Ovis aries: one gene and its partners. The main gene of each other region encodes a partner of the protein of the gene in region 5 in a complex. Links are inferred from orthologs where the notes say so. Each region holds a gene or a part of one and is shown on either strand. Other genes may lie near its edges. The genes, in order: TMEM237, CC2D2A, MKS1, TMEM67, TMEM231, TMEM216 and B9D1.

Region 1 (4,049 bases), on a different chromosome or scaffold from region 5:
CGCTAAGCACTTCATTAGACAATGAAGGGTTAAGAATTTGTGCTGGGCAGAGGAGGAGGTAAGAGTAAATTCACTTGAATATGTATCTAGCAGAGGCTAACAGATGAAGCATATCATTTATTTCAAATTTATGGGCTTCCCCAGAGGCTCAGCGGTAAAGAATCTGCCTGCAATGCAGGAAGCACTGCAGGAACTGCAGGTTCAATCCCTGGGTCGGGAAGATGCCCTGGAGGAGGAGATGGCAACCCACTCCAGTACTCTTGCTGGGAAAAGCCCATGGACAGAGGAGACTGGAGGGCTATAGTCTATAGTTTCTCAAAGGGTCGGACACGACTTAGCGACTGAGTAGCAAGAGATACTTTGATCAGAAAGAGACTAAGAGAAAGGAAGAGCAAAGACTTTCTATACAATACCTGAAAGGGTCCAAGAAGAGAAATATCTCCAAAATATGCGCAAACCCTCATTAAGTGCTCCAAGACGCCAGCTCCCCTACACACTCCTGTTTTTTGCAGCATTCAGTTTCACCACTTTATTGTTATACTTCTTGGGTTACTTTAAATGCATCTTTGTTATTGAAATGTTATAATACTATAAAGTATAAATGACATAATGCTATATCCATTAAAAGAAGATTTATGAAGTCATTATAGAAGATTTTATGATGTATTTATACTATTTTTTTCTTTAATACCTTCACTAAGATCCATTCCTGGCCTGTAAGACAAAAAAAGCCAAGATAACCCAACCAGAATGGCCACCACCAGGTTCACCACAATCCATGGCTGAAGAACCTGCTCCTCAATTCCTTCTGCCCTAGAGGTAAAGAAATACTCATCAGAAACGTCTTCATTGTGATCCAAATATCCAGATATATCTATTTTATAAACTTAAAAAAAAATTAGCCATCCTTATCTAGAGGAATAACAAGCATAAAATATAACTTCCCTATGAAATACACTATATATATCATGAGAATTTTAAAACCATAACTTAAAAAGATTTAAAGCATTGTTTACAAAACATTTTCATTAAAAATGCAAGAGTATATAACAATAGTTATCCATTAACCAAAGGAATAGGGGGCTTTTTTGGCCACAATTTTAGAAACAAAAACAAGGCCCTCATTACTATTTATAGGTGAAAACAAGTAAAGGAGTGAAAAGACAAGAATAGCACCATTCCGCCCACTGTTGCTATTATTACGATCAACAATTACTAGTGCTACTATGAATTCTTACCAGAGGCTACCGTTAACAGAAGAAGGTGTGTAAAGGTGGATTCTGTCACTTGTCATTTGTTGACTCAGAGATAATATAAGAGCAGTAAAGTACACTGAGAAAAGACAAATGAATTACTAATAATGTATTTTTAACAACCCAGTTTGTTTGGAATTTATAAATAACTTTAAGGTCAAAATAATCTGAGCTTTGGGAAATGATGACATAAAAAATTTTCATTTGGTCAATTTCAATAGGCTGGATAGTCTTACATTATTTTTCAATACAGGTAGAGAAGGGGCTTTAGATACTCACTATTTTATCATTAGACTGACAAGAATCTAGAAGATCACTTAAGAAATTAAATGATTCAAGGTTCTAAAATTAGTTTTATTAATATTCTCATAATTAGAACAAAATTTACACCAAATTACCAAAAAGGTAAAAAAAAAAGTATTTGTTACTAAAATGCCCTATCAGCCCTATTTGTTTACTGTCAAGTAGAAAACACAAAAGTAATACAGAACAATAAACTTTAAAAAGTTAGATAACCTCTACTGAAAAATAATTCTAAACCTCCACTGAAAAATAATTCTAAACCTCCACTAAAAAATAATTCTATCAAAATTATACCTACCATAGTTTAATTACAAATTCCACTGAATATTGATGTGAATTGTTTTAGGTAGCAATAATATAAAATCATTTTTTAAATAAAATTATACTTTTTTTCTGATTCAAATTTACACAGTTATCAAATTATTTACTTACAGAAAGATGCTAAAGCTCTTGGATCCAGAGCAAGAAAATTTCGGATTGCTACTGACGTTTTAGCAAAGTCAATCCTAGAAAATACAAAAGCCTCTTGTCACAGTGTAGTTGTAAACTTCTTACAAAACTGTACAGAACTGTAGTCTCTAGACAACAGTTTCTTTCTTCTCTATTTTAATGCTACCACATTATTATGAAGCTTTAAGTAGCTACAGTTTATACTTAACACACATGAAAAAATCTTATCTACAAAGGCCACATAAAACATTTAACTAAAGACTATTTTAGTTATCATTCCTTTAGCATTAAGAAGAAACAAACGTGATCAGCCATTTTATTAGATTCTACTTCCCTTTATTACTCATACTATTGAGTGATAAGCTGTTGTTTTCTTAGTGGGTTAAATTGTGTTCCTAGAAAGACATATTGAACTTCTAAACCCTGGAACCTGTGAATGTGACCCTCTTTGGAAACAGAATCTTTACTGATGTAGTCAACTTAAGATGAGGCCATTACAAGGGGCCCTAATCCAGGAAGACTGGTGTCTTTACAAGAAGAGACACAGATCCGTGGACACACAAGTAAGACTGTCATCTGATAACGGAGGGAGAGGCTGGAGTAACGCGTCTACAAGCCAAGGGACAGCAAGGACTGCCAGAAACCACTGGAAGCTAAGGGACAGGCAGGAATAGACTCTCCATGGATCCCTCTAAAATGGAACCAACCTTGCCAACACCTCGGTTTTAGACTTTCAGATTCCAAAACTGTGAGAGAACACATTCCTATTGTTTCAAGCCACCCAGTTTGTGGTACTTTTGTTACAGCAGCCCTAGGAAACTGGGGTACCCAGAGTCTTGACTATACCTGATTCAGTGCACTGGAAGATATTTGGGTCTTTTTTTAAAATTAAGTTTTTATTTTGTATTGCAGTATAGCCAATTAACAACGTTGTGATGGTTTCAGGTGAATAGAGAAGGGACCCAGCCATATATATACATGTATCCATTCTTCCCTAAACCCCCCTCCCATCCAGGCTGCCACATAACACTGTGCAGAGTCCCATGGTCTATACAATAGGTCCCTTTTGGTTATAGATACAGCAATGTGTATGTTTGGGACTTTTTGAGTTGATTATATTTGGATGAAATTTTGGATTTAGAGTTGATGCTGAATGGGTTAAGACTCTGGGGTATGTTTTTGCTCACAATAGTCCCATCTCCTCCCCTCAAAAAGAACAGAAACAGAATGGCTCTTTAAAAAGTCAAAATAATATTAATATCCTGTAATTCTATTTTGAAAATGTCATAGTTTTTCAGGGACACATTTTGCTCAACACTTCCCTCTGAAGAAAGTTAGAGGAGCCTACGGTCACAACAGTCTTACCTGTCAAAGGCTGAAACTGTACTCAGAGCCAAAAGCAAGTAGAGAAGACTCTGGAATGGATATGCTAATGTCTTGTATTGTTGCAGAAGGTTTGAGAGGTCAGAAAGCTCATCTCCTGCCAGAACATAGATCACAACAATGTTCCACACAGCACAGCCAGCCAGGAAGCCATGGGAGAAGACACCAATCATCCTGAATGGAAAACGGTTTTGTTAACATACACCAAAGACTAAAGCAAAAAGTGCATTCTTTGAATCTATTCATGTGTAAGAACAAAGTTCAACATTTCACAAAAGGTAAAAACAAGCTTTTCTTTTCTCTATACTAATAGGCAGATCATTTAACTCTAATTGAATGTTTGAAAAATATATGCACCCACCATTTTAAGCTGTCAATTTTTTAACAGTATTGAACAATCAATACTTAAAAAATTGTGGAACATTTGTCTTTAGAAAAGTCCAACAAAATCAGTCACCGGAAAGCCCGATGCACCGACAGTGCAACATCTCTGGTCGTCCAGGAAGGTTTCATGTCCATTGACACATCAATCTTTTCTGTGGTCTTAATCAACTCTGAACGATCAGCAGCCTGGAATCGCCCTAAGAACACAACACACAATTAAAAACAACTCACAACAGAGAACTCTGAGGATCTTTCTTGTTATTCCACATTTAAGAA
Region 2 (4,049 bases), on a different chromosome or scaffold from region 5:
ATGGAGAAAGAAACTGATGGATTATTAGGTACAAGTTGATACTGTCTAGATCACTAATTATATCATGTATCTTTGTCATAAAGCAAGTAGATGGTAAATCCCTCAGGCCTGGGGCTTGGGTTTATGCTTGCTTTGTAAATCCACTCCTAGGGTCCACATTTCTGTACAGAGTAGCCACTCATTAATATTTGTCTGTGATAACAATATTTTATAGAAATTCACAATTTAATAAAAGGGCAAACACATATATCATTTCAAAGCTCATAATGGCCATATGAGGTAGAGATTATGGTGATTTTTTAATTAAGGAAACATCTTCACAGCAGTCAAGGGAGATGCCCAAAGCCACAGCTTAGTAGACACCCAGCTCAGATTCTCTGATTTGGGTCCATGTCTTCTCTGTTCGTCACCTATAGCTCTACAGTTCTATAGCTTTATAGGATGATCTTGTATCCTCTTATTCTGTTTGCCTTTAGCAGTGTCAAAATGTTACACATTTCAAATTACACAAGTTTCTGAAGGAGGTGATCCTTGCTACATTTCAGGAGAGCATGAGCAATATAATTCAACATGAAGGAAGGAAATAAAAACAAACAAGGGAAAATAAGACAGGTCTTTCTTAATACACAAGAATTTAAGGAATAAGTACATCTGGATTGTGTGTGGGGGTGTGAGTTGCTAAGCTGTGTCTGACTCTTTGCAACACCATGGACTGTAGCCAGCCTGGCTCCTCTGTCCGTGGAATTCTTCAGGCCAGAATACTGGAGTGGGTTGCCATTTCCTTCTCCAAGGAAGCTTTCTGACCCAGGGATTGAACCCAGGTCTCTTGCATTGCAGGCAGATTCTCTAATGTCTGAGCCACCTGGGAAGCCCAAGTACATATGGATATATCTTAGGAAAACAAGGAAACAACAACAGAAGCTCCAAGACACAGAAACAAAATATTTGTCAGCTAAAAAATTTAGAAAAACAAAATCCTTGAGGAACAGAAAGATTGTAAAAAAGCATAAATTGCATCATTAAACTCATATAAATACAAAACTAAAGCTAAAGAATGTTGGAAATTGTGGTCCTGGACAAGATGTATAAGTTGTAAGTTTTGATAATAATATTGTAATGATAATACAGCAAACAAAAACCATGATATGATGTTTAAGGGACATGGATTGAAAGCTTAGAAGTGATTTCATAGTAAAAAGTCATTTTATGTTGACCCAAATTGGAAACATTAAAAAAGCAATTATTCTGATCTCTAGTGTCACTATGTGTTCATAGATTTATCTGAATTTTTAGTAAGAATGTATCTGATATTAAAGAAATATGTAACCAAAGCCTAGCAATTCTTTTAATTTTAATATAGCTTCTTTCCCCCAGAATATATTTATTTGATACTTTTTTTAAAAGATAGTTAATAAATATAATCATTTATTGTTGGGGGGTGGGGGGGAAATGAAGGCAAGCAACTGCCTATTCAACACCAGCCGGTCAGACCTCACTGAGCCTGTTCTATGTACTTTGATGTATTATCTCAACCATCTGCACAACAATCCTAGTAAGCCGATGCCATTTTGCAAAGGAAGAAACACCAGCAGAGAGAGGAGAGGGAGGTCAAGTGAGCCAAGCAAGAGGCAGGGCCAGGACTCAAGCCAGGCAGTGTGGTAAAAGAGCTGGGAAAAATACCATAGAAAGGATTTGTGAGGATAGAAAATCTCCAGTGATATAATACAGAGACAGTGGGGGAAATAACCCTGCAGTATATGTGAGATGACAGAGAGAAAAGAGAAAATATTGGGGCAGCTAACCTGGACATGGGCATAAAGACACTGACCCAAGCCTTCCTACCTGGGAAGCTTGTTGCTGATGTAAGAAAGGGTTTAAGAAAGGATTCGGTGTGGGCAGGAGGCTCAGTCTTATATAACAGGCTTGCCGTTTCCTTTTTATGTGCAAGACAGTGAATTAGTTAAGAAAAGTCAGAATAGGATGTTGCAAATTCATCACTCCAATCCCTTCAAAAAGCAAAGCACTTTCAAGTAAATTCATGTATTAAAAATGGGAGGGGGAGGTTTACCTTTTTATACAGGGTTTCCAGTTCTGGCTTAATGTCCTGCGCCTGTGTAAACATGGGTGGTCGCGAAGGAACCGGCTTGATGGGGTTTGGCAGTGCCAGGATCCTCCCGTCATCTCCAAACCATCTCCTCCCCTAGGATCAAGCAGAAGGACAGAAAATAGTTTACAAAAATAAACAGCGCTTGTGGGGAAACTCTCTGTCACCATGTATTATGTCATGCACCTTCCCCTGTCCTGTAGATCTTTTATTTTTTAAAAAATTATTTAGTTTAAATTAAAGATAGTTGCTTTACAATAGTGTTTTGGTTTCCGCCACACATCAACATGAGTTTGCCATAGGTATACATGTGTCCCCTCCCTCTTGAACTTCTCTCCCACCTCCCACTCCCTAGACATTTTAAAGTCCCGATTTCTATCAGAAATTGAGTCTTCACTAAGCCAGACACAGAAAGACCAATATCATATGATATTGCTTATATGTGGAATCTAAAACACAGGGTACAAATGAACTTACTACAAAACAGAAATATATAGTCGTGGCTGTAGAAAATAAACTTATGGTTTCCAGGGGATACATACTACTATATATAAAATAAATAACTAACAGGGCTACTGTATAGCATGGGCTTCCCTCATAGCTCAGCTGGTGAAGAAAGTGGAAGTGGAAGTCCCTCAGTCGTGTCTGACTCTTTTCGACCCCGTGGACTGTAGCACCAGGCTCCTCCATCCATGGTATTTCCCAGGCAAGAATACTGGAGTGGCTTGCCATTTCCTTCTCCAGGGGATCTTCCTCACCCAGGGATCGAACCCAGGTCTCCTGCATTGGAGGCAGAGGCTTTAACCTCTGAGCCACCAGCTGGCTCAGATTCCTGGGTCGGGAAGATCCCCTGGAGAAGGAAATGGCAACCCACTCCAGTATTCTTGCCTGGAGAATCCCATGGACAGAGGAGCCAGGTGGGCTACAGTCCATGGGGTCACAAGAGTTAGACATGCCTTAGTGACTAAACCACCGCCACCATATAGCATAGGGAACGCTACTCAGTACTCTGCAATGGCCTATATGGGAAAAGAATTTAAAAAAAAAAAATAGAGTGCCTATATGTATATCCACCTGAAACTAACACAATTGTAAATCGATTGTATTCCAATAAAAGTTTAAAATTTGAGTCTTCGCTAATGCCCCCCAGAATTAAGATATAGTTTTCAGCCCCCTCCTGATAAGTTTAAGAAAAAGCTAAAGGAGTGCCTGGGCTTCCCTGGGGCTCAGCTGGTAAAGAATCTGCCTGCAATGCGGGAGACCTGTGTTCAATCCCTGGGTTGGGAAGATCCCCTGGAGAAGGGAAAGGCTACCTACTCCAGTATTCTGGCCTGGAGAATTTCACGGACTACAGTCCATGGGTCACAAAGAGTCAGACACAACTGAGCGACTTTCACTTTCACTTTCAAAGGAGTGCTTAAAAAAACGTATTTCCTATTAAACAATTTTTTAAATTTTATTTTTAAGTTTTTTGGCTGCACTGGTATCTCTGTTGCTATGCAGGGGCTCTCTCTAGTTGGGGTGAGCAGGGGCTACTCTGTAGCTGCAGTGCTGGGCCTTCTAATTGCGGCAGCTTCCTTGTTGCAGAGCACAGGGTCTAGGCACACAGACTCAGTAGCAGTGGCTCCCAGGCTCTAGAGCGTGGGCTCAGTAGTTGCAGTGTGCTGGCTTCGTTGCCCTGTGGCATGTGGGATCTTCGTGGACCAGGGATTGAATCTGTGTCCCTGCATTTGCGGCGGGTTCTTAACCACTGGACCACCAGGGAAATGATATTCGTGAAAATTTCAAGACAGACGACCATGGACAAAAACAGTTGAGAACATTCTATCTTGGGACAATTAAAAATTTCTGTGAATTGGGAAAAGGTTTGCCAATATGTGATTTAGTAGGAAGAGCCTAAACCCAGCTTGGGAAAGGTAGGATTGAGCGGAGAGGGGTGATGTTT
Region 3 (4,686 bases), on a different chromosome or scaffold from region 5:
ACACGACTGTGTGACTAAGCATAGCACAGTCAATTTAGATCGTCAGTTTAAGGTGTAAAACCATAGCTATATTTCCCTGTGTTATAAAACATATCTCTTTCTTATTTATTTTATACATAGTAGTTTGTAACTCCTAATCTCATACCCCTATCTTGCCACTCTCCCTTCCCTCTCCCTGCTGGGTAAGGGAATCAATAGACCCCTTCCTTGAACTCTGCTCATGGACCCCAGTTTTAAGAATCCTGATTTCTATCAGTAAATAAAAGGAATAAAAATATAGTTTACCTGTATAAAAACAATTTAATTATGGTTCTTAGACAAATCACCTATATTTGGATGTCATGTGATACAGTACTTTGCTTATAATTATGTCAGGTTGACTTTGCTCTAAGTTAGATTTGGTGTAAAATGAAAGTTGGTTCAGGCTCCAACTTTATCATTGGTGGTTCATATGGCAAAATGTTGCCTATTCACAATTTTAAAAGAAAAAATTAGATTTATTTTTTTTCTTAAGAACTGATATTCTGCCTTCATGGTTTCACCTGTTGAAATAATTATTACCATTTCCCAGGTTGGGAATTGTGTGCTCTTACAGAATAAATTGGTAGGTGAGGCATTGTGAAGAAAGGTGGAAGGTGTTCATGCTTCAAAAGACAGGCCTGGGCTGGAGTCTCAGCTCCTCTACCACTTACTCCAGTTCAACCTTTAAGTTCTGGCCTTCAATAACTTCATTGGCTATGAGAATAACAAATACCTACTTAAGGGATTTCTAGGAGGATTAGGGACAATATAAACAAGGAGCCCTATTAGATCTTACATAAATAGGGCTATTGTTATAGTGAGTCTTTAGCGTTATACAAGAGCAGCTTTGTTGCTGATGGCTCCCAATGCCATATAATCAAATTGGGTTCAGGGGACAAGAAGCAGCAAATGACAAAGGCTGATAACTGTTGCCATCCCCAAGGTGCCAGAGAGCCGGACTCGAGGTTACAGGTGTGTTCCGCCTTTGGCAGCCCAATGCAGAACGTCTTCAGGATGGCGTTTTATTGACTTTCTCAAGGTCAGTGCGGTATCTAAGGTGGCTTAAAAATGGGGAAATAACACATGCAGGGGAAAAACCAGTGCAATAATGACATCTTTTCCTTCCTTACTGCTAGCTTCCTTGTTTCTTTTTTCTCTGGTTCAGTGAATGCCAACGCAAGGATTAATAAATCTTCTGACGTTTTTGTTTGCTTCCAAGAAAATACTTTCACGTCTGGGTAACTGTCTTCACCTCCCGTCACTCCTCTGGGAAGAATGGGTGCATCCTGTGAGTCCCCGTTAACCGATTCTGAGGCCAAAGTGTCCCAGGATTCAGTGTAAGACTGCGATGTGGTGGGAAAAGTAGTCGCTGAGAACTCAGGACACTCGGATTTGGGGCCCACGACCATTTCTGTCCGAATCTACATAATGGGGGCCGACAGCGCTGCTTTAGTTTCCTCATTCGTCAAGCGCATCCACCCCGGCCTTGGGTGTGAGCGAGCTTTGTTCGCACTAAAGACCAGTGGCAACCCCGCAGGACCACCCCAGCCGCGATGGGCGGGGCTTCTGCCGCGCCGCCTAGGGAACCGGGTTCCAGGTTCCGGACGGCGTCTCAGTTGCCAGGGGAACCGGGGCGGTGCGCTTTCCGGCGCAGTCGTGCGCGGCGCAGCTGTCATGGCGGAGGCCATCTGGAGCAGTGACACCGGAGAGGCCGTGTACCGATCCCGGGACCCCGTGCGCAACCTCCGCCTCCGGTAGTCGCATCACCCCAGAGCCCCGTGCTTTCATGCTCTCAGATGATTGGAGCCTGAATTACACTTCTCCTTTGCTGGGGCCCTCATTTCCTTTTGCAGTACCGACCGCTGTCACCCCGGTCTCCTCGCGTTTCCCTCACTACCTGGAACCCTCTTCACTCGCAACTTCCTAGACTCACCCTTTCAGGACCCTGTTGCTGCTGCTGCTAAGTCGCTTCAGTCGTGTCCGACTCTGTGCGACCCCATAGACGGCAGCCCACCAGGCTCCCCTGTCCCTGGGATTCTCCGCCCCCCAAATTCCTCAGAGCCCTGTCTCCCTGCAATACACTCTCGCATCCTCTCCTCCCTGGGGCCCCATGCCCCCTGCCCTCCCCTCTGTTGCCTGCATCCGGCCACATCTCCTGGTAGCCATAATCTCTTCAGTGTTTTGTTCCCCATCCTTGCTGTGTCTCCTGCTTGTGTATCTTGTAACAGTATTTTGGGCCTCTCTTTTCCTGGCAGAGTCCACCTGCAAAGAATCACATCAAGCAACTACCTCCATTGCCAGCCTGCTGCCCAGCTGGGGAAGGATCTCATAGACTTGGCCACTTTTAGGCCTCACCCAACGGCCAGTGGGTGTATGGTGGTGATGCGGCCCCTTGGGGATCTGGGGAAGGGCCTAGGGCGGAGGTTACTTCTTAAGACAGAGTAGACCCAGGTCTATAGTCTGAGGTATAGAGAGGTTGGGTTTCTTGTCCAAGGTCACCGGGCTACTAACTGTTGAAATCAGAATTTGATCCCAGGCAGTTTTAACTACTACATTATGTTGTGTGAAAATTGAATTCAAGAAATGATTCCTATCATCAAGAAGCTGATCTGAACTGTGGTTAAATGTAGTGAAATAGCAAATACCGTGCTTTGGGTATATTATAAATTTACCTCTAAACCCAAATGCCATTTCTGACTTTTTTTTTTTCTTTTTTCTGAGAAAATAGCACTCCAAACTTGAAACTTAGAATATAAACACTTTTTATAAACAAGTTAAACATTTGGGTCTGCATGGTAAATGCACTTTTTTTTTTTAACCTTGCTGTGTGGCATGTGGAATCTTAATTTTCCCTGTAGCGATGGAACCCATCCTCCCTGCAAAGCAACCATGGGACTACCAGGGAAGTCCCAGAAAATGTACATATTAGTATTATCTGTGTTCTAGCCTTTTTCTTTCTCTGAGAAGCCAGAAAACTAAGAAAGAGAAGACAGTGTGTTTGTGTTAGGTCACTAGTCTCTTTGCTTTTGTTGTTTCTGTTCAGAAATATTTCTGGGTAAAAGTGTGAGCTGGTGGGTTTTGAAGCATATATCTTTGGAAAAGGCATACTCATCTAGGAGTGTACATACTGGATTTGGTTCTTAAAAAGAAATCTGTTATATGTCTTTCCTTTTCTCTCTTAATACTTGGCCTCTTAAGGTTACAGTGTTTGTGATTCTAGATTTATGGCTTCAGAAATATTGAAGATAAAAATGCCATGGTTCATAGCAAATGTAGACAATTGGGATTGAGAAAGAGCTGTTTAGCCTATATCTAAATTTCAGCTCTTGACTCTGAATTAGATTAAATAATTCCTGGAGGACGTGATTTCTTTTATTAAAGTTAGAGGGGTGATTAAAACTTCATGGGTCTTAACCTTGGCTTCTGCACATATCTACTGCCTCTCTAGAGTGAGTACATCATAATCAGTGAACTCCAACTGGTTTTGTGGCAAATATAAGAGCACAGACTTTGGTTATAACCAACCAGAGAGCAAGAAGTGGTGCTAGTTGGGCTCAAACATTTGACTCACTCTGTTTTCTTTGGAGGTGGACACCGCCCAGAGGAAGAAGAAGAGGAGGCTGTGATTGGGTGGCAAGAGAAGCTCTTCAGTCAGGTGGGCTAGTGTCCCTGTCTGCTCCATCTCCCTGCACCCTGCCCACGTCCACCTGCCTGGTCGCAGGGAAAGGTTCCTGATACATATCACCAAACTGACTTCCAGAAAGGTTACAACAGTGTATGCTTCCCACTGCTGTGTGTACGGGATCAGTGTAATGCAGTGCCTGCCACTAGCCAGTTTTATGATCTTGAGTAACATGCTTTTTACCTCTGGGCCGCATACCGAAACAGCAGAATCACTGTCTTGGTATGTCAGTTCTATAACAGCAGAATTGAGTTAGACTGTCGCTCTGGTTCCTTGTAGCTCTAACCTTCGTTGGCCTTTCTGTCCTCCATCAGTTTAGATAAAACATCATGACAAATGGTATTTGACCAAACAGTTGTAGTGACAAAATTAAAATACTCTCAGTGGAACTCTGTTTCTTTGTGACCTCAGTTTGAAGTAGATCTGTACCAAAATGAAGCCGCCTGTCAGAGCCCTTTGGATCATCAGTACCATCAAGAGATTCTGAAGCTGGAAGATTCAGGTGGCAGGAAGAACCGACGGATCTTTACCTACACTGACTCTGATAGATACACCAATTTGGAGGAGGTACCATTCTTTCCCAAGTAGACAGACTCAGGTAGACTTAGCCATGCTCTGTAGCTCCCTTCACCTTGGTTTCCCCTGGCTTTCTGGCCTCGTGTTTTAACTCAGAAGCATGTTAAGTGAGCCTGTCTAGGAATTCCCGTGTGTTTCTGGCAGCCAGGCTGGAGTAGGTAGGTGGGCACAGCCTGTGGGTGATGTGGCTGCTGCTCCCTGCCCGATCTGCTGGAGGGACTGGGGAGCCAGCAGTGTCTCTAATGCTAGGCTTGCAGACTGCACATTGCGGGGAGCAGCCACTAGGTTTGATTTCCCCCATGCATCATGAGATCAGACAGGTGGATGGCATCTAGAACCATCTAGATTGAATTCATCATGGGATTCAGCCAAAACTGAACATACACATTTGAAGAGGAATTCAGTAC
Region 4 (4,597 bases), on a different chromosome or scaffold from region 5:
AAAATTATGATAGCTTAGTTGTGTGTGTGTGTGTGCTTTGTCATATCTGATTCTCCCATCCCTCCATCCATGGGATTTTCCAGGCAAGAATACTGGAGAGGGTTTCCATTTCTTACTCCAGGGGATCCTCCCAACCCAGGGATAGAACCTGCATCTCCGGTGTCTCCTGTATTGTAGGTGAGTTCTTTACCACTTGAGCCATCAGTGAAGCCCCCCAAGCTTAGTAACATCACTGAAAAATTAGTCTACTTTGGCACCATTTCATATTAGTACCTTTTGCTCATCATAATTCAGCTAGGGTCAATATTTCCTAAAACTTCAAGTATGAAAATGATCATCAAACCTATAAGTACTAGTCATAAACCAGGACAAATGGTAAATATTAAATTCCCAGATTAAATTTTTTTAAAATACAATAATGAGAAGAGGTAATATTGCATTTTGAAAAAAAATGAGAAGAAATATTACTATGAAAGTTAGAATTGCCACACTAAGACTCTTTATTATTCAAAATGATTGAAGATACATTTCTGTTAATCAAGAATCATCATATATAGTAACTATCAATACATTAATTTTCCAAAAATTATGATATAATGAAATGATTAATAAAACAGCATCAGGTATTATTTATTTAGTGATGAAATTGGCATTTGATGAACTTATCACTCAGGTATCATTATGAACATGAATCATTATGTAAAACTGTTGACACAGTAAGTCTAAGACACTGAACTCACGCTATATATCATTCATTCATCTATTTTCCTTTATAAAGTAGTTTCTCTATGAAATAGAAATAAACAAAATATGGCTTTTTTTTTTAATTTCAGATTTTAAAAATACCTTTTTATTTTTCTCCAAGTATGCAAAATTTCACCGATCTCCCAAAATTTACTCTAGTAAAAACAAAGCTGGCTTAATAATTTTAAAGTCTGTGGGAAAATATTAGAGTACAGCATTAAATTACAGTTTAAAAAATGATATTTGCTATTTTTTACAGTAAGATTTTTTTAAAAAATAAATACTCCATACCATGTGTTCTGGGCACTTTTTACAAGTAATATCACGTCCTCCATTATTAGAAATCATCTGAAATCCTGGTGAACACACACATGAAGTTCCTAAAAAGAAGAGCCAATTTTGACCTTGATAAAATTCCAAGATAGGAAAATTTTAATAACTCTTAAGATCTTGAGAAGCAGGAGCTAAGAGCAAGACAGTGGAGCCAGTACTGCCTGGGTTCTGACCTTGATTCTGCTGCTTAGTTTTGTGACCCTGAGCAAGGAACTGTTCTGTGCCTTGGCTTCCAATTAGGAACAGTACGTACCTTGTGGGGTTAATATAAGTACTAAATTAGTCATATTATTAGCATATTAAGGTGTTATATTTATATCTTACAATGTGTCTGGCATACACTAGGTATTGTGTTTGCTATAATTTTAAGTGCAAGCATAAATAAATTATTAAATTATAAATATTAAACTAATAACCAAACTACTGACTAATCGCTATGGGAGATTTTACATGTCTATTTCACCCAACCATACACATATACTCACTGAATTCAAATTCTGTCAAAACAAAATCTTATTAGGAAAGTTACCAAGATAAATCACTGTTTTCCTCTGTTTGGAAAGATTAAAGTAAACTTTATAAGATAATCACTATTCAATTTGCTGGCTAGGTAAGGACAGCATTCTCTAAGAAGGCATTAAGTGGATACTTAATAGGAATCCATGTAGTAGAATGCTTATGATAACAGGGTGCATGACTATGAACCTTACATTTTATAGAATGAGTCTGGGAAATGCTTTCTTCTTACTTCCTCACCTGAGAAGCCTGACTTGTCCTACACAATGACTTAAAGACAAACCAAATTTCAAGATGGCAGAAAGTTAATACCATGGGTGACCAAACTGAGATTAAAAACATCCTAGACTTTAGAATACGGGGAACGTCTTATCCTGAGCAGTTTCAAAGGACAACTAGGATGAATGATGAACATCTCAAGAAAAAAAAATTAATATAAAGATACTTTGGAGGGAATTAGTAATATTCAACAATGAAAGGGCTAAGTACTAAGGAAATCTATACTATTATGGACATTTTGTATAGTGGAAATACAGAGGGCAGAGGGCAAAGAGATACAGGAGTTCTTCCTGTCTCCAATTTACAGGACAAAGAAGACGTGACGACCTCATCTGGACTTCCATTTTTTAATCCATAAATTGAGAAGGCTGGACCATAAATGGTTAAGGTCCCTTCCAGCTCTACATTTCTAGATTTGAGATTAAAAACAAAACAAAACAAAACAAAAACAAAACTACCAAAGTTTACGAGCGCTTATTTGCATTCCTTCCCAAACAGGTCCTGTCACCTGCTCTTAGCACCTCAGACAGTCCTGGTTGTCCGACTCTCTGCGACCCCAAAGATTACTTCTCCTTTTCGCTTTCTTAGGTAGTCAGCTTTCCAGGGGCCTCCCTAAGGGCCCGCTGATTGAATGACTGGAGCCAAGAAATTCATTACGAGGCCTAGCGGGTAGCCGACTCAAGGTTTCCCCAACCTCCTCCGTTGTGCGTTAAAGCCTCAATCCTTCAAGAAGACCCTCCTTTCAGGCGTTGGCAGTTAACCTTTCTGAAACATTCTTTCCGCAGGAAAAAAGAAAAAAAAAAAAGATGTTTCAGCAACGCCGGGATCTGGGCACAGCATCAAGGCGGGGCCGGGATCTGGGCACAGCATCAAGGCGGGGCTGCTCATTTGGCCAGGGCCCGTCCCGAGCCGTCTCACCTCGGGCATCCTGCCTCTGATTGGCGCCACACGCCACACAGGAGAGCGCCGAGATATCGAAGTACTGGTTGTGGCCGCACGTCTCTGGCTGCCGGAAAGGGAAAAAGAAGGTCTGAGCTTGTGAGACGCGAGGGAGGACCAGCAAGAGGAACAGAGTCACACTCTCAGCCGACAGAGTGGACCGAGCGGCCATCGCCACTACACGCCCGCGGCCTCCCGTCGCCATGGTGCAGACGCCGGCGGCCAGGCCGTCTCCCGCGGCCCGTCAGCCTCCGCGGCGACTCTGCAGAGCTGATTGGATCGCGGCGCCCCGGTGTTCCGGAAATGTCGGCCTGCTTCTCCTGGTTGCTAGGTTACCAAAAGCTGCGGGAATCTGAAGATCTGGGAAAGGACGGGTTCGGTTCAGTTTAGTTCTGTCGCTCAGTCGTGTCCGACTCTTTGCGATCCCATGGACTGCAGCACGCCAGGCCTCCCTGTCCATCACCAACTCCCGGAGTTTACCCAAACTCATGTCCATTGAGTCGGTGATGCTATCCAACCATCTCATCCTCTGTCGTCCCCTTCTCCCGCCTTCAATCATTCCCAGCATCAGGGTTTTTTCCAGTGAGTCAGTTCTTCACATCTGGTGGCCAAAGTACTGGAGCTTCTGCTTCAGCATCAGCCCTTCCATTGAATATTCAGGACTGATTTCCTTTAGGATGGACTGGTTGGATCTCCTTGCAGTCCAAGGGGCTCTCAAGAGTCTTCTCCAACACCGCAATTCAAAAGCATCAGTTAGAGGCAAGCTAACCCTGTAGCCTGGCAGGCACGACCAGACTTCAGATTCTATGAAGCGACCCGTTTCCGGGACGGGAAATCAATTTCAGAAGTCGCGAAATAGGTAACCGCAGCCAAGAAAATATCTGATTTTATCACACAAATTAAAAGTATTGTTTCATTAAGTCGTTAAATGATATTTACAATAAAACTTATGGTCATTTTCATGTTAAAGGACACACCCAATAATGTATTTGTCAAGATACACTTGTCCAAAAAGTAGGGGAAAAAACCACAGATTTGAAATATGTAATGTTGGACGATTGGCTCAAGCACTGAAAAAGAGGGCTTCCCTGGTGGCTTGGTAAAGAATCTGCGTGCAATGCAGGAGACCAGGGTTCAATCCCTGGATCAGGAAGATCCCCTGTAGAAGGAAATGAAACCCGCTCCAGTACTCTTGCCCGGAAAATCCCGTGGATGGAGGAGCCTGGTGGGCTACACTCCATGGGATTGCAAAGAGTGGGACACGAGTGAGTGACTTTCACTTCACTGAAAAAAGATCTTTCCTGACAGACCTTTTTTGTGTGTTTCTATGTTCTTTGTTTTGAGCATAGAAATCATGTTCATAAAATGAGATCTTTAGTCCAGTTGTAAATAAAGAAGGAATCTATTGTTTAAGTCAAATATACACATGCATGATTGCTGTCTTTCAAAATGGGCACTCTTAGAGGCTGTTGGGCCCAAAACATTTTAGAATTACCTTCAAAGCCAGTTTCTGGGTCATAAAAGAAAAAATTGTTTCTTAATATTTAAATTTCATTTCTGCTTTTGTTGTATTCTATTTGTTTTATTGTTTTATTTTGTCCTTCCTCCCCAATAAAACTGGCATATTTTGAAACCACCTTATTCATCAGTATACCTTGAAATGACTTTATTACTATTAAGGAGAATACACACACACACACACACACACACACACACACAATATTCTCAGTACCTGTGGGAAAATATGTCTAAAAATTTAGATAAATTTATTAACCATATTTAGGCT
Region 5 (3,473 bases):
ATTTGTGTGGAGGAAAATTAGAAAGGATTGTTCTTTGTCTCTGATGGGAAAAGCACACACGGGGGCAAGCGGCCACGGACTCTTCAGAAATTCTGCAAGACGGCAGTTCTCAGAAGACAACAGAGGGGTGGCCACGGTCTTGCTTAGAGTTTTCAGAAGGGTCTTCTTATGAGAAATGCTCCTTATACAGTTCTCCCTGGGGCACAGCTGTTACAGGGATTGTGGTCACCACCTGATTTTGGAACACAAATCTTTTGATTCTTTCAAACGCCCACAGGAAGATAAGTAGGATACTGACATACTGGATCCAGGCAAACTTTATCATTTCCCAGAATCCTGGTAGATAAGTACAAACAGTTAAGGAGTCACAGATGACATTTTCTACATACATGTTACACCAAAGGGTTAGTTTATACAGAAAATCACAAAAAATGTTTCAAATACCCTTAAGATAAAAGAGACAATCAAAGATTATTAAGATATAAATATGTATGATTCTGACCTAGAAGAATTGCTCAAAAGGACAGGAAATGAATATTTTTTTCCCGTATGAACTGCAGACAGACAGAGTCGTTTGTGGGGGACTACCACTGCAGCAATTTCCAGTCTGAGGCTTCCCACATCTGTTCCCTCTTGAGACATCTGAGGAATCCCTCTTTTCTTTTTTGAAACCAAGCTACTGTTGGCCCCTTAACAGAAAGGATATGAAATGACTTCCACAGGGTATCGGATGACTGCATTAACCACAAATGGAGCTTCTGCAGCCCTTCCCACCAGCCAGATGGGGCTGGGGTCAGTCAGGATGGTGGTTACTGCAAAACAATGAGGAGTTAATCCGTGAATGCTCTCTTTGGCAATAAAATACTGAGGGCTGTAACATACTCTGACCTCTCAGGCCAACTCTGCATTTCAGAACACATTCCAAAGAAATAATTCAAAAGGAAAGAGAAATTGAATGTTCAAAGCTGCTCACATAGTATTTGTTAAAACACTGGTCAAAGGATGTTAAAAACAGCTTGTGTTCTACAACTGTCTAAACAAATGAATGGCTAAGCAAAGGAATACTATGCTACCTCTAAAAAGAAAACCAATGAAAACTTTCTAGCGGTGTGGGGGAAATATTAAATTACAAAGTACAGAAGACAAAAACTGTTTCTAAACTGTGACAGGAGCTGTATAAAAACTCTGCATATGGACAATAACTGGAAGGAATTAAGGAAGAAAAGCTGATTTACAGATAAATGTTTCTAAGTCGTGTTCTAAAATTCCTTTATTTTTGGAAACCAGAAAGAAAATACTGGAATTGCGGTCCCGACTCATTAAATGTCTGTGTATCGTATCTATGTCTGGTTGCCAGGCAATGCTTTAGATTCCTTTAGAGGAAACCTCAGACCACCAAGCAGCCAGATATGCTGAGTCAAGCGCACACTCAGGGACGATCTGGCGGTCTTGCCTCTTGGAGGCCCTGGGCACGTCTGCCTTTCAGCCAGAATCGTGGGTACCTTTTCCTCCTTTAGCTGCTGACACGCGGTGAGTCACTCAGGCTCCGTTTCCATATGAACACTATGGAGAGCAGCCTGTCTTCGGCTTTTCTTACAGGTGTGGTGTGGGAAGCAACTCGCCTATCTTTACACATAAACCCACCCAACCAGTGGTGGGACAAATACAGCAGTGAACTGGCACTAACCTGCGGGACCAGAGGAGCAGTGCAGGGGATAGTTAGGGGGTAGGTCTCTGGGTCAGGAGGAAAAGAACAACTTCTGAGCAGCCTGTTCACCTTCCACAGCGGAGCATTCACTGGTCTCGACATTTTGATATGACAAGGGCTCTAATTCTGTTTCTCTCCAATACCCTCATTAACCTGCAAAGTCCTTGAGAAGCAGATGCATGAGCTGTCCACACAACTCACCGTTCCTTTCCTGATAGGCAGCCACAATGCGGGTGAGGTCGTAGTCACTGGCAAACGGACTGGTCCCGTTGATGACAGACACCTGGGCGCGCGGGAGGGCGTGGTGTGAGCACACAAGCGGCTTGCGCTCTTGGTTTTTCTACCCCCCTCCCACCCAGGCTGATCTCAGAGACCACCCTCTTGCGCTTGGGGGCCTACTCCAGCATCGATAATATTTTCTTCAAAAATGAATGAACTCTTTTGAAACAGTTTACATCATTTACTTTCAGTCTTTCTTTCTGGAGGGAAGAAAACAAGGGGTCAATATCCATCTTTCACAGGTTTTAAAGCGACTTATATAATTCCCCTCTCTATTCCAATGGGACAAATGAGTCTTCTCATTTTTTCTAAGAGACTACATTCTCAACCCCTTTGTCTTTTTTCTTGCTTTTGTCTGGATGCTCCCTAACTGATCCCTTTGAAATGCAGAAATGGAAAGATAAAGTGCACATAGTAATAAGCACATAATCCTTTGAAGACAAGAAAGAGCTGTTCTCTAGCATCACATTCCTGACATAATCTAACATGGGCTTCCCTCGTAGCTCAATGGTAAAGAATCCGTCTGCAATGTGCGCAGACCTGGGTTTGATCCCTGGATCGGGAAGATCCCCTGGAGGAGGGAATGGCAACCCACTCCAGTTATTCTTGCCTGGAGATTCCCCATGGACAGAGGAGCCTGGTGGGCTACAGTCCATGGGGTCGGAAAGAGTGGACAAGACTGAGCGACTAAGCACAGCACAGCATATTAAATTTATATTTTATAGTCCCTCCTGTTAAAAAAAAATAGTATGTTGATAATGGTTATGGTTATGGTGACCATGAATCCCAGTTTATCTGGGACAGTCCTGGTTATAATAACTGATAACATTTCCTATTAACTTTCAAAAGTAGCCTAAATTATATGGGCCTCCTTGTGATAACATAAAGGTTTGTGATGAGGGATGGGATGCATGAGTCCTGGTCTCAGACCGTTCATGGCTCTGCGGGCTTTGGGAAAATTAATCAATCCCTGTAGCCTCCAGGTTCCTCATGTGTGAAATGAGAGTTCATTCTCTCATCAATTCTGAGTGCTTACTATGGGCAGGCACTGTTTTAAGCACTGGAGCGAGAGAACACAGAAGATAGCAGGGCTTTCACCACTGAAAGTGAAAGTCGTGTCTGACTCTTTGGATCCCATGGACTATACAGTCCATGGAATTCTCCAGGCCAGAGTACTAGAGTGGGTAGCCATTCCCTTCTCCGTGAGATCTTCCCAACCCAAGGATCGAACCCAGGTCTCCTGCATTGCAGGCGGATTCTTTACAGCTGAGCCACAAGGGAAGCCCCTTTACCAATGAGGGAGACGGCAAATGAACAAACTGGAAACCTCCCTTTCATATTTCAGGTGAAGGTAAGCAGAGTAAACCTGGGTGAGCGATGATGGAGGGTCAGGTGGATGGTCTTTAGAAGGCGTGTCGAGCAAGGACTGTGCTCAGGAGCTTTGACCAGGGGCCAGACGGAGCAGTAGGGTGAGCGATGTGGGTAC
Region 6 (4,739 bases), on a different chromosome or scaffold from region 5:
CTGCAGTCCATGGGATCGCGAAGAGTCGTACACAACTGAGCAACTTCACTTTCACTTTTCACTTTCATGCATTGGAGAAGGAAATGGCAACCCACTCCAGTGTTCTTGCCTGGAGAATCCCAGGAACGGGGCGGGGGGGGGGGGGAGCCTGGTGGGCTGCCGTCTATGGGGTCGCACAGAGTGGGACATGACTGAAGCGACTTAGCAGCAGCAGCAGCAGAGGGACGGGGAGAAAAGAGTTACTGTTAAATGGTTACAGAGTTTCTCATTGCCATGATGAAAAAAGCTTTGAAAATGGTGGTGATGGTTACCCAACATTGTGAATATAATTAATGCCACTGAATTGTACACTTGAGTCACTCTACTCAAATTACCTGGTTTGAGTGTGCCATGTTTTCTGTCCTATCCTGACAGTGGCTGACAGTCAAGTCAGCCTCAGTCCAATCAAAACTCTTCTTTCTGCTTCCCTGTGGGCCGTAACACATGCTAACTGCTCCAAACCATAATCAGGTTTCAAAGCCCAGTTCACCAGTCATCTCTTGAAAACTTCTCTCAGTTCCCACCTAGAGTACTTTGTCTTCCCAACTCCCATGCAAGTCAGGGGTCACGTGGTGATCATGTTTCATCTTCCCGGTCTTCTTTATGCTCCTCGAGAGGATCCTCTGCCTGCCTGCTCAGTCGCTCAGTGAAGTCTCTGCAATCCCAGGGTTGTCTAGCCCGCCAGGCTCCTCTGTCCATGAGATTTCCCAGGCAAGAATACTGGAGTGGGTTGCCAAAGGAGCCTCTAGTTCTGATTAATTCTGGTGTCTTCTAAGTACCTGTTTGATAAATCGGACGCACTAAATCCCCTATTACCCTCCCAGAAAAGACTGCTTGCTAGACAAAAGACCCCAAACGCCAAACCGCATTTGCAGAGCACTTTTGTGCATTATCAGACCGTTGTTTGGGATTCCCTCGTGGCTCAGATGATAAAGAGCCTGCCCTCAATGCCGGAGGTCTGAGTTCGATCCCTGGGTCCTGAAGATCCCCTGGAGAAGGAAATGGCAATCCACTCCAGTATTCTTGCCTGGAAAATCCCATGGACTGAGGAGCTTGGCAGCTATATGCAGTCGATAGGATCACAAAGAGTCGGACACGACTGAGCGACTACACTTTCACTGTTCTTTTTTCGTGTATTGTCAGACCGTTAGTGAAGAGAATCGTGGCGCTACAGCCTATTTGGCAATCCTGTGGTCACATTACCACTACTGGCTACTTCTGCAGATTCATTGTAAACTTTGGGTGGGGAAGCCCAACAGCTGCTCCCAGCCCTAGGGGCCTACGGACTCCAGCTCGGGGGGTGGCCCCTGTGCTGTCGAAGGTCTCCAGACAGAACCCCAGTGAAGGCCATTTGCGCGCACCGGCGGACGCACCAAGACGGCCTTCGCACCAGGCAACCATAGAGTGTGATGGGCGGGCAGAGAGGCCAGAGTCTCGGGCCGCTCTGTCCCCCGCTTCCGGCAACGCCTCGTTGCTCCAGAAGTAGAGGTAGCCGCGTATGCAGTTTCCATGGGGACTGGAGATGGCGCCGCGAGGTGAGATTACGGAGGTGTGTGAGTCGCTGGTCCTGATCGCTTCTATATTCCATTCCTTTCTCTCCCATTGCTCGACTTTTATAAACCCTCTATTCTCGGGTGTTATGGACATCACTTCTCGCTTGTCCAAAGCAGGGTCTAGCAGCTTCACCCTCCCTGAGTTCCTGAAGGTCTCGAGGTGCGGGTCTTAGATTCCCTCAAATTCTTGGCCAGGTCTGTTCTAGGCCAGCTCAGTTACAAATTTGCAGTGTGACTTCAAACAAGCCAGTGCTGGCCTCTGCACCCCATTTTCCCTTCCCAAATAGTGACGAGGTTAGATCTTAAAGGGGCTTTGACTTTCGCGCCCGAAGCCCGGAGTCAAGTTTAGGGGACACTCTACACACAGAGAGAAACCCTACACACACAGACACCCTACACACACACTCTCTCTCTTTTTCTCTCTCCTCATCAGCAATCAGAAGTGCCCCAAGTAGCCCTTTCCATTAGCTGCGACCTCACTTTTCCTTCGTTAGACACAAAACCATTGAAATAACTGAGGTTGAGCTGCCCTCCAGCCCATCTCTTTTTCTCTGTGCTCACATTTTCAGGTAAACGATTGTCCTCCACCCCGCTGGAAATTCTTTTCTTTCTGAATGGGTGGTATTATGCTACCTATTTCCTGCTGGAACTCTTCATATTTCTGTATAAAGGTAAGGCCTGGGGATTGACTACCCTTGCCCACATCCCTTCCCCACTTCAGGGCAGAGCCAACTCCCACCAAAAACCTTCCTATTTTTCATTCTTTTCTGCCCTCTAGGGAACCTCTTCACTGTAAGGTAGAAGTCTCTTCATCAGCTGACTTCTTGAGAATGATTTAGTAGGAAGCTCCTGGGCAAGAGTTTGTTGAGTTTGGGAAATGTGGGATTCTTCATTCCAACTCTCCCCCATCACCTCTTGCTGAACTCCACTTTCAGCCTGTTGATGAGCCTCGGAAGCTATTCAGCGGTCTGTGTACCCATGTACAGCTGATAATGGTGGAGGGTGGAGTCCTCATAGACTGTCCGAGTTATGAGTAAAACCCGATAACAACATGCCTGCCTCTAAAAGAGATGCAGCCACAACAAGGAGTTAACACATCCTGCATCAGGTTAACAGATGCTGCCCACACCTCACTAAGTAGCTCATGGACAGCTGATGAGACTCGCGCGTGTGGGGCTCTCCTGCGCACTGCTCTGTGTTGTTTTCAGGCTCTGACTTCTGTGTTGGCAGGTCTCCTGCTCCCGTACCCAACAGCCAATCTAGTCCTGGATGTGGCGATGCTCTTCCTGTATCTCGGAATTGAAATAATCCGACTATTTTTTGGTGAGTGTTTGTCCAAGAATATTTCCATTCTTTCTGAGATGAGCTGGTATCCGTAACCTGATCAACAAGGAAAAGTACATAACCTAGGCTCACCAATCAAGAGATTGGATCTGGTGGTATATCCCATTACTCCCTCTCTGAAGTTTCAAGCTGCTTCATATTTTGGGTCAAGATGTATCTGTCTGTTGCCCGGCAGGGCCAGAAGTGGGCAGTGGCATGATATTAGACAATTTCTTCCCAGTTGTCTAACTGTTACAAGAGTGCCTTGTTCCTCTCACTGGTTTGCTTGGGAGAATAGATTCAGCTGTAACTCCATGTCTGGGGCAGGAGATGCCTGCACAGGTCAGCACTAAGATCCCCTTCATTTTTCTGAACAAGGATTTCTCTAGGACAAGTTTTGTATTCCTGGAAGTACAGAGCAAGCCCTTTTTAGTTAGAATATGTCATCCCTGAAAATGTTCTTTAAACACACTGAAGAAAAAAAACATACTTTAAGTACATATCACAGTGGATAAAGAAAGCTCACATAAAATGCTAAGAAAAAAGCTAGTTTTAAAAATGAGCAAGGGAGGGAATTCCCTGGCTGTCCAGTGGTTAAGATTTCAAGCTTCCAACTCAGGGGGTAGGGGTTTGATCTGTGGTTGGGGAACTAAGATTCTGCATGCTGCACAGCGAAAAAAAAAAAAATTAGCAAGCGACCCTAATGGGCAGTTCACATAAGAATAATTACAAAGGACCAGTAACCATGATAAAATGCTCAAACTCACGAACAAAAAGCAAACTGGAAAAACACGGTAACATATTCACCCATCGGATTAAAAAGATTCCCAAATGCCCCGTATTCAAATAACCGCAAGAAACAGTATGTATGGTCTCACACTCATGTGAGTATTTATATTCCCACACCCCTGGGAATAGAAATTAGTATAACCTTTTTTGCTAATGGTTTTACCAGGTAAAATGTATATTCTTAGACATTAACAATTTCCCTTCTAAAACTGGCTGAAAAAAACACACTTCTACAGATACACAAGTATATCTGTATGAGGATGTATTGCCATGTATTTTTTGACATCAAAACCTTAGAAACAACCTAACACCTATCAATACAGGACTAGTTAAATTATGATATTGGTTCAATGAATTGTTCATAGCCATTAAAAAAGGTAGTTAGGTGTGGAAAGAGTTACGATAGAGTAAAAGGTAGTTAATGTGGAAAGACGTCTAACCATGTTAAATGGTTAAATAAGTTGCCAAACGGTATGCAGAGTATGATTCTACTTTTACAATAATGAAAATAATAACACGTGACTATACACATAAAAAATGTCTGAAACAGTATGCCTCATTCTGTAATAATGGCTTTCTCTAGAGGGTGAATCATGAGGTCTTTTAATTTCTGTATTTTCTAAAATGATTTTCTATATATTTTTCTTTTTTTTGGCCATTCCATGGGGCACCTGGGTTCTTAGTTCCCTAACCAGGGATTGGACCCATGCTCCCTGCAGTGGAAGCACAGAGTCAACCACTGGACTGCCAGGGAAGTCCATATTTTCTATATTAATTGACAAAGTGTTCAATGATTATATATTATTTTTATAATTAAAAAGATCTTTCCTCAAATAAAGATCCCATTGTTTCTTCACTGGGAGCAGGACCTTTCTGTGAATGACTCTAATCTCACAGCCGCTCCAAAGCCTCTTGTTTTTAACACAGTGGGACCCTGTTAATAAAGTTGCACATCCCCATTCAGGACCATTTGCCTCTGCTTGCCAGTCCATCCCATCCCACCTGCCTTTTCCTCTGAGGCCAAGGAAAGCAGGC
Region 7 (4,627 bases), on a different chromosome or scaffold from region 5:
CCCAGTCACCTTGCTCTGAATCTCCTTCCTCTTTTGCGCAACGCCTGTTGTTCAGTTGCTCAGTCGTGTCGGGCTCTTTGTGACCCCATGGACTGCAGCATGCCAGGCCTCCCTGTGCATCACCAATTCTTGGAGCTTGCTCAAACTCATGTCCATTGTGCCACTGATGCCATCCAACCATCTCATCCTGTTTTGTCCCCTTCTTCTCCCGCCTTCAGTCTTTCTCAGCATCAGGGTCTTTTTCAATGAGTCAGTTCTTCACATCAGGTGGTCAAAGTATCAGAGTTTCAGCTTCAGCATCATTCCTTCCAGGAATATTCAGGACTGATTTCCTTTAGGATGGACTAGTTGGATCTCTTTGTTGTCCGAGGCACTCTCAAGAGTCTTTTCCAACACCATACTTCAAAAGCATCAATTCTTTAGCACTCAGCCTTCTTTATGATCCAACTCTCACATCCTCCATACATGACTACTGGAAAAACCATAGCTTTGATAATGAGCAACGGAGACGTATTCACACTCCAGTACTCTTGCCTGGAAAATCCCATGGACGGGGTAGCCTGGTAGGCTGCAGTCCATGGGGTCGCTACCAGTCAGACACGATTGAGCGACTTCACTTTCACTTTTCACTTTCATGCATTGGAGAAGGAAATGGCAACCCACTCCAGTGTTCTTGCCTGGAGAATCCCAGGGACGGGGGAGCCTGATGGGCTGCCGTCTATGGGGTCGCACAGAGTCGGACACGACTGAAGCGACTTAGCAGAGTTGGCAGCTAGTACAGCAGACGTACTCAATTATCCATCCACTCCACTAGCTGCCACCAGTGCTCAGGCAACCGGGACACGGGGGTGGCCCAGACCCGGTGTTCGTGGCGTAGGGCTCAGGGGAGAGGCGGCACTGGCTGGAGCTATCACAGTAATCGATGTGCAAAAGCGAACAGTGGGGAGCGCTGAGAGCAGGCGGACGGCCGAGCCCCGCGGGCTCGCCCCTCCCCGCCGGCAAGGTGCCGGGGCGGCCACTCAGAGGCCCGTTTTCCCGCGTCACGCGGAGACCTGCAGTCTTGGGCTTAAGGACCTTCCAGGTCCCTTCTCGGTTGGTCTAATAAACTTTTGGGAGGCGAGGGTCTCAAAGGCACGAGGGAGCATCTGTAGACCCGAGGCAGGGAGCTGCTGGCCCCACGGGGACTCTCGGAAGCGCGGCCGGACCCCGCCCCTTGGCGGCCTCGGGCTCCAGTCACACACTCCAACCGGCAGCGCGGTGGTCAGAGCGGACACACATTCCCGGGCGGTGGCCTAGGTCCCGCACCACCAGCTACATTCACGCGGGGTTCCTCGGGCGGACCGCCCCTCAGACGGACCAGGCGGCTGAGGCCCGCCTCCCACCGCACAGCGCCGCTCCGACTGCGCTTGCGCGCCGCGCCTTGTGCGCGTTTTCCCGAAGCTCCCGCTTCCATGAAACTTGTCCCGTGCGCCACGCCGTCGTCTCCAGGGCAACCCGGCGCCTCCTAGTAACCGCGCGGCCCGGCTATGGCGGCCGCGGGCCCCAGCGTGTTCCTGCTCATGGTCAACGGGCAGGTGGAGAGCGCCCAGGTGAGCGGCCGTGAGTCCTCCAGGGTCGAACCTCGGGGGAGGGAGCTAGCGTGACAGGCTTGGCGAGAGATCGCGCGGACCCTCCGCCACGAAGTGCGGTGGGGAAAAAGGCCTGGAGCGTTGAGCCAGGCCGAGGCCACAGTTGGCCGAGCCCACGTGAAGATTCGGGCAGGGGCCTCCATCCACCCCGCGACCCTCAGCTCCTCCCTCCGGCGCGGGTTGGTCTGACACAGCGATGGTGGCAGCTGTCCTGACCCGGAGGCTGTGTCTGTCCGACGGAAGGGGACAGTGCTTTCCAGTCCCCTGCATGTCCTAAGAACCGTTTGTTACTACTGGAAGACATGACATATGACAGTCTTCATGCCCAGCCCCGCTCAGCCAGTCCTCACAACAACCATTTGAAGTAGGTATTACTTGCACCCCCATTTTACAGATGGGAAGTTGCCCAAAGGAAGTGGCAAAACGAATTTCAAACCTTGTCTGATGTCAAAGCTTTGCTGGACTTGCCTTTCCAGGCTGTTTTAAAAATATTATGATTATATTGTGAGTACTAACCAAGGTGGTCTAGGTAAAGCTCCGTGGGATCTCTTAGCGGGCATCTCCCGCCTTCCTGTTTCATCAGGGTCACTGCCCCATGCCCCCACCCTGTCCACCTCCCCTTGGCCTGGTGCCTAAGGCCAGCCTCTCCTGTTCTGCTTTATCCCAGCAGGGGCCTCAGCTGGGCTGGGTCAGTGTGCCTGTGTTCTCAGCAGCCCCTCATCCCCACTCTTCCTCCCCTCTGCTCGAGGCCACTCTGCAGGCCATTGGCTCCCACCAAGCTTTGTGTCCTGGGAGCACCTGTCTTCTAGACCTTTCACTTCAGCATCACTCCTTAGTGCCCACCCTGTGCCAGGTGCTAGGGACACAGAAAGCCCACATACCTGTCCCTTGTTCACAGTCTAATGGAGCTGAGAGAATAAACATGGTCAGTGCTGTGATGGAGCACCAGGGGCTGTGGAAGCTGGGATGTGGCTCCAACAACCTGGAAGTCGGCAGGCTCCCCAAAGTGTCAGTTTTGAAGGGTGAGCAGGAGTACTCCCAGTGAAGGCATTCCTTCACTTCTCATTAGAAGGGCACGTCATACAGATGTCAGAGCCTGAGCAAAAGCCTGGGGGCAGCACTGTCCCTGGACTATCCCACATCTTGAGACCAGACCTTCCAATGAACTCCGTATCCATGCACCCTGCTCTCTCAGCCCCCGCCCCCTAGGTGCCTCATGTTCAGAGTTGCTGGTGGCTGTACCTGCCTAGCTAACAGGTGGTCACAGCATGAGTCCCTGTGAGCAGAAGCTGTGTGTGCTTATTTCCACAGTTTCCTGAGTACGACGACCTCTACTGCAAGTACTGTTTCGTGTATGGCCAGGACTGGGCCCCCACAGCGGTAAGCTGGACCCTACAGCCTCCCAGACTCACAGCTTTTGTGACTGAAGGGGTTTCTGAAGGCTCCATTGCACCCTTTCCCCTCCCAATTCAGAACCAGTTAAGAGTTCAGGGGTGGCACACACGTGAGTTTGTTCCCAGTGAGGCCGGAGCAGAGAATGCAGAGATCCCTGATCCACCCCTAAGACTGTGGTCGCTCCTGGGCCCTGCCCTGCAGCGAACAAAGCCAGACCAGCCCAGCTCTGCTGGGGCCACTTGCCTGAGAGGGAGACAGACTCACGCTCCAGGCTGTTGGCTAGTAGCGGTGCTGAGGGGAAAGTGAAGGCAGGAAGGGGAGGGATGAAGAGGCCAGAAAAGGCCTCCTTAAGACAGTTTAAAAAAAAAAAAAAAAAGATGGTAACTGAGCGTAGAGCTGAAGGAAGCAGGGGGATGGGCCAAGTAGAAGGCTGTAGAATAAACTAGCCAGGCAGAAAGACAGGGGAGAGGGCAACAGCCTGCTGGACCATACCCTATTCCGCAGGAGGTGCAGGTGGAGCTTGGGCACCGGGAGAGGGGAGGGGCCTCAAGGTTTCAGGTCCTAATGGATAGAAACCCTCAAAGACCTGGGAGCCACTCTGTCACATCTTAGGTCCCTTTGTTTGGCAGAAGATGGTGATGAAAACAGCTCTCAGCTGCCACCTCAGAGGTAGGGTGGGTGGGCATGGCAGCCTGGAGCTGGGACACTGGCCGTCACTGTCATTGTCCTTGCAGGGGCTGGAGGAGGGCATCTCACAGATCACCTCCAAGAGCCAAGATGCGAGGCGGGCGCTGGTGTGGAACTTCCCCATCGATGTCACCTTTAAGAGCACCAACCCTTACGGCTGTGAGTCTGCAGGCCTCGTCCTGCCCATCCATGGGGCCCTCTACCAGCCTTGTCAGGTGCTATCAGACACCTGGCTGTTTTCCCCTCCTTCCCACTGTGTGCACTTGACCTTTCCGAGGTTCTGAGGAAGTCGGTGAAGCCCAGCGTGAAACCTTGGGCAGTGACTGCCTGCGAAGGTCAGAGCCTGGTGTCTGGGGCTCAGCAGTCTGGCCCCTCAACAGCTCTCCCCCGTCCATCACCACTGTGCTCCCGCCAGTCCCGACCCCCCTGCTCCTCCTCCAACACCCTGCCCTGAGCCAGGGGTAGGCCCTTCTCTCTGCCATGGGCACCGAGCCCTCATCCTACCTCTGATCTCCCAAAGTTCTCCTTGCCAATATCTGCAGGGTTTGTTGTCCACTGTACCTGGTCGTCTGTGATCACTCTCACTTAATGAATGTTAGCTGCGTGCAGAGCCTAGCTTGCTCCACAGAGTTGTGCGTGCTTTCCACGCGTGGGCTTGGCTGAGCTGTGAGATACTATCGAGAAGGCAGGCTTCTCTCCACCTTTTCTCCTGTTTAGGAAACCAAGACTCAAAACAGTGGCATCATTTGCCTCAGCTTCACCTTGAGTAGCTGAGCACGGATCTGATTTCATAGTGCAGGCCTTCATGCTGCATGCAGCTGGCGCCCAGGCTTAGCAGGTGTGGAGGGTCTGGGGTCACAGGTCTAGAGCAGAGGCTCCCCAGTGACACTCCTGGGCAGGACGGCCATCCTGCTGTC

The links.
Region 1: TMEM231 (region 5) and TMEM237 share a complex: the UniProt entries of both Homo sapiens proteins name them as parts of the tectonic-like complex. The link is inferred for Ovis aries from reciprocal best matches to the Homo sapiens genes TMEM231 and TMEM237.
Region 2: TMEM231 (region 5) and CC2D2A share a complex: the UniProt entries of both Homo sapiens proteins name them as parts of the tectonic-like complex. The link is inferred for Ovis aries from reciprocal best matches to the Homo sapiens genes TMEM231 and CC2D2A.
Region 3: TMEM231 (region 5) and MKS1 share a complex: the UniProt entries of both Homo sapiens proteins name them as parts of the tectonic-like complex. The link is inferred for Ovis aries from reciprocal best matches to the Homo sapiens genes TMEM231 and MKS1.
Region 4: TMEM231 (region 5) and TMEM67 share a complex: the UniProt entries of both Homo sapiens proteins name them as parts of the tectonic-like complex. The link is inferred for Ovis aries from reciprocal best matches to the Homo sapiens genes TMEM231 and TMEM67.
Region 6: TMEM231 (region 5) and TMEM216 share a complex: the UniProt entries of both Homo sapiens proteins name them as parts of the tectonic-like complex. The link is inferred for Ovis aries from reciprocal best matches to the Homo sapiens genes TMEM231 and TMEM216.
Region 7: TMEM231 (region 5) and B9D1 share a complex: the UniProt entries of both Homo sapiens proteins name them as parts of the tectonic-like complex. The link is inferred for Ovis aries from reciprocal best matches to the Homo sapiens genes TMEM231 and B9D1.

The regions. Positions count from the first base shown.
Region 1 is NC_056055.1:203,945,120-203,949,168, forward strand, and holds part of TMEM237 (transmembrane protein 237), read right to left. Parts: intron 3,971-4,049; coding exon 3,847-3,970; intron 3,564-3,846; coding exon 3,372-3,563; intron 2,063-3,371; coding exon 1,989-2,062; intron 1,333-1,988; coding exon 1,239-1,332; intron 814-1,238; coding exon 692-813; intron 1-691. UniProt on the Homo sapiens protein: Component of the transition zone in primary cilia. Required for ciliogenesis.
Region 2 is NC_056059.1:111,348,330-111,352,378, reverse strand, and holds part of CC2D2A (coiled-coil and C2 domain-containing protein 2A), read right to left. Parts: intron 2,201-4,049; coding exon 2,069-2,200; intron 1-2,068. UniProt on the Homo sapiens protein: Component of the tectonic-like complex, a complex localized at the transition zone of primary cilia and acting as a barrier that prevents diffusion of transmembrane proteins between the cilia and plasma membranes.
Region 3 is NC_056064.1:8,840,040-8,844,725, reverse strand, and holds the start of MKS1 (tectonic-like complex member MKS1), read left to right. Parts: upstream 1-1,673; 5' UTR 1,674-1,695; coding exon 1,696-1,775; intron 1,776-2,276; coding exon 2,277-2,386; intron 2,387-3,608; coding exon 3,609-3,676; intron 3,677-4,114; coding exon 4,115-4,270; intron 4,271-4,686. UniProt on the Homo sapiens protein: Component of the tectonic-like complex, a complex localized at the transition zone of primary cilia and acting as a barrier that prevents diffusion of transmembrane proteins between the cilia and plasma membranes.
Region 4 is NC_056062.1:83,418,944-83,423,540, forward strand, and holds the start of TMEM67 (meckelin), read right to left. Parts: upstream 3,032-4,597; 5' UTR 3,017-3,031; coding exon 2,791-3,016; intron 2,586-2,790; exon of another isoform or gene 2,567-2,585; intron 1,125-2,566; coding exon 1,036-1,124; intron 1-1,035. UniProt on the Homo sapiens protein: Required for ciliary structure and function. Part of the tectonic-like complex which is required for tissue-specific ciliogenesis and may regulate ciliary membrane composition.
Region 5 is NC_056067.1:2,328,786-2,332,258, forward strand, and holds part of TMEM231 (transmembrane protein 231), read right to left. Parts: intron 1,992-3,473; coding exon 1,910-1,991; intron 813-1,909; coding exon 707-812; intron 348-706; coding exon 167-347; 3' UTR 1-166. UniProt on the Homo sapiens protein: Transmembrane component of the tectonic-like complex, a complex localized at the transition zone of primary cilia and acting as a barrier that prevents diffusion of transmembrane proteins between the cilia and plasma membranes.
Region 6 is NC_056074.1:36,444,746-36,449,484, forward strand, and holds the start of TMEM216 (transmembrane protein 216), read left to right. Parts: upstream 1-1,509; 5' UTR 1,510-1,537; coding exon 1,538-1,574; exon of another isoform or gene 1,575-1,588; intron 1,589-2,161; coding exon 2,162-2,263; intron 2,264-2,370; exon of another isoform or gene 2,371-2,389; intron 2,390-2,396; exon of another isoform or gene 2,397-2,558; intron 2,559-2,564; exon of another isoform or gene 2,565-2,700; intron 2,701-2,822; coding exon 2,823-2,915; intron 2,916-4,739. UniProt on the Homo sapiens protein: Part of the tectonic-like complex which is required for tissue-specific ciliogenesis and may regulate ciliary membrane composition.
Region 7 is NC_056064.1:33,859,989-33,864,615, forward strand, and holds the start of B9D1 (B9 domain-containing protein 1), read left to right. Parts: upstream 1-1,506; 5' UTR 1,507-1,526; coding exon 1,527-1,589; intron 1,590-2,939; coding exon 2,940-3,008; intron 3,009-3,757; coding exon 3,758-3,869; intron 3,870-4,627. UniProt on the Homo sapiens protein: Component of the tectonic-like complex, a complex localized at the transition zone of primary cilia and acting as a barrier that prevents diffusion of transmembrane proteins between the cilia and plasma membranes.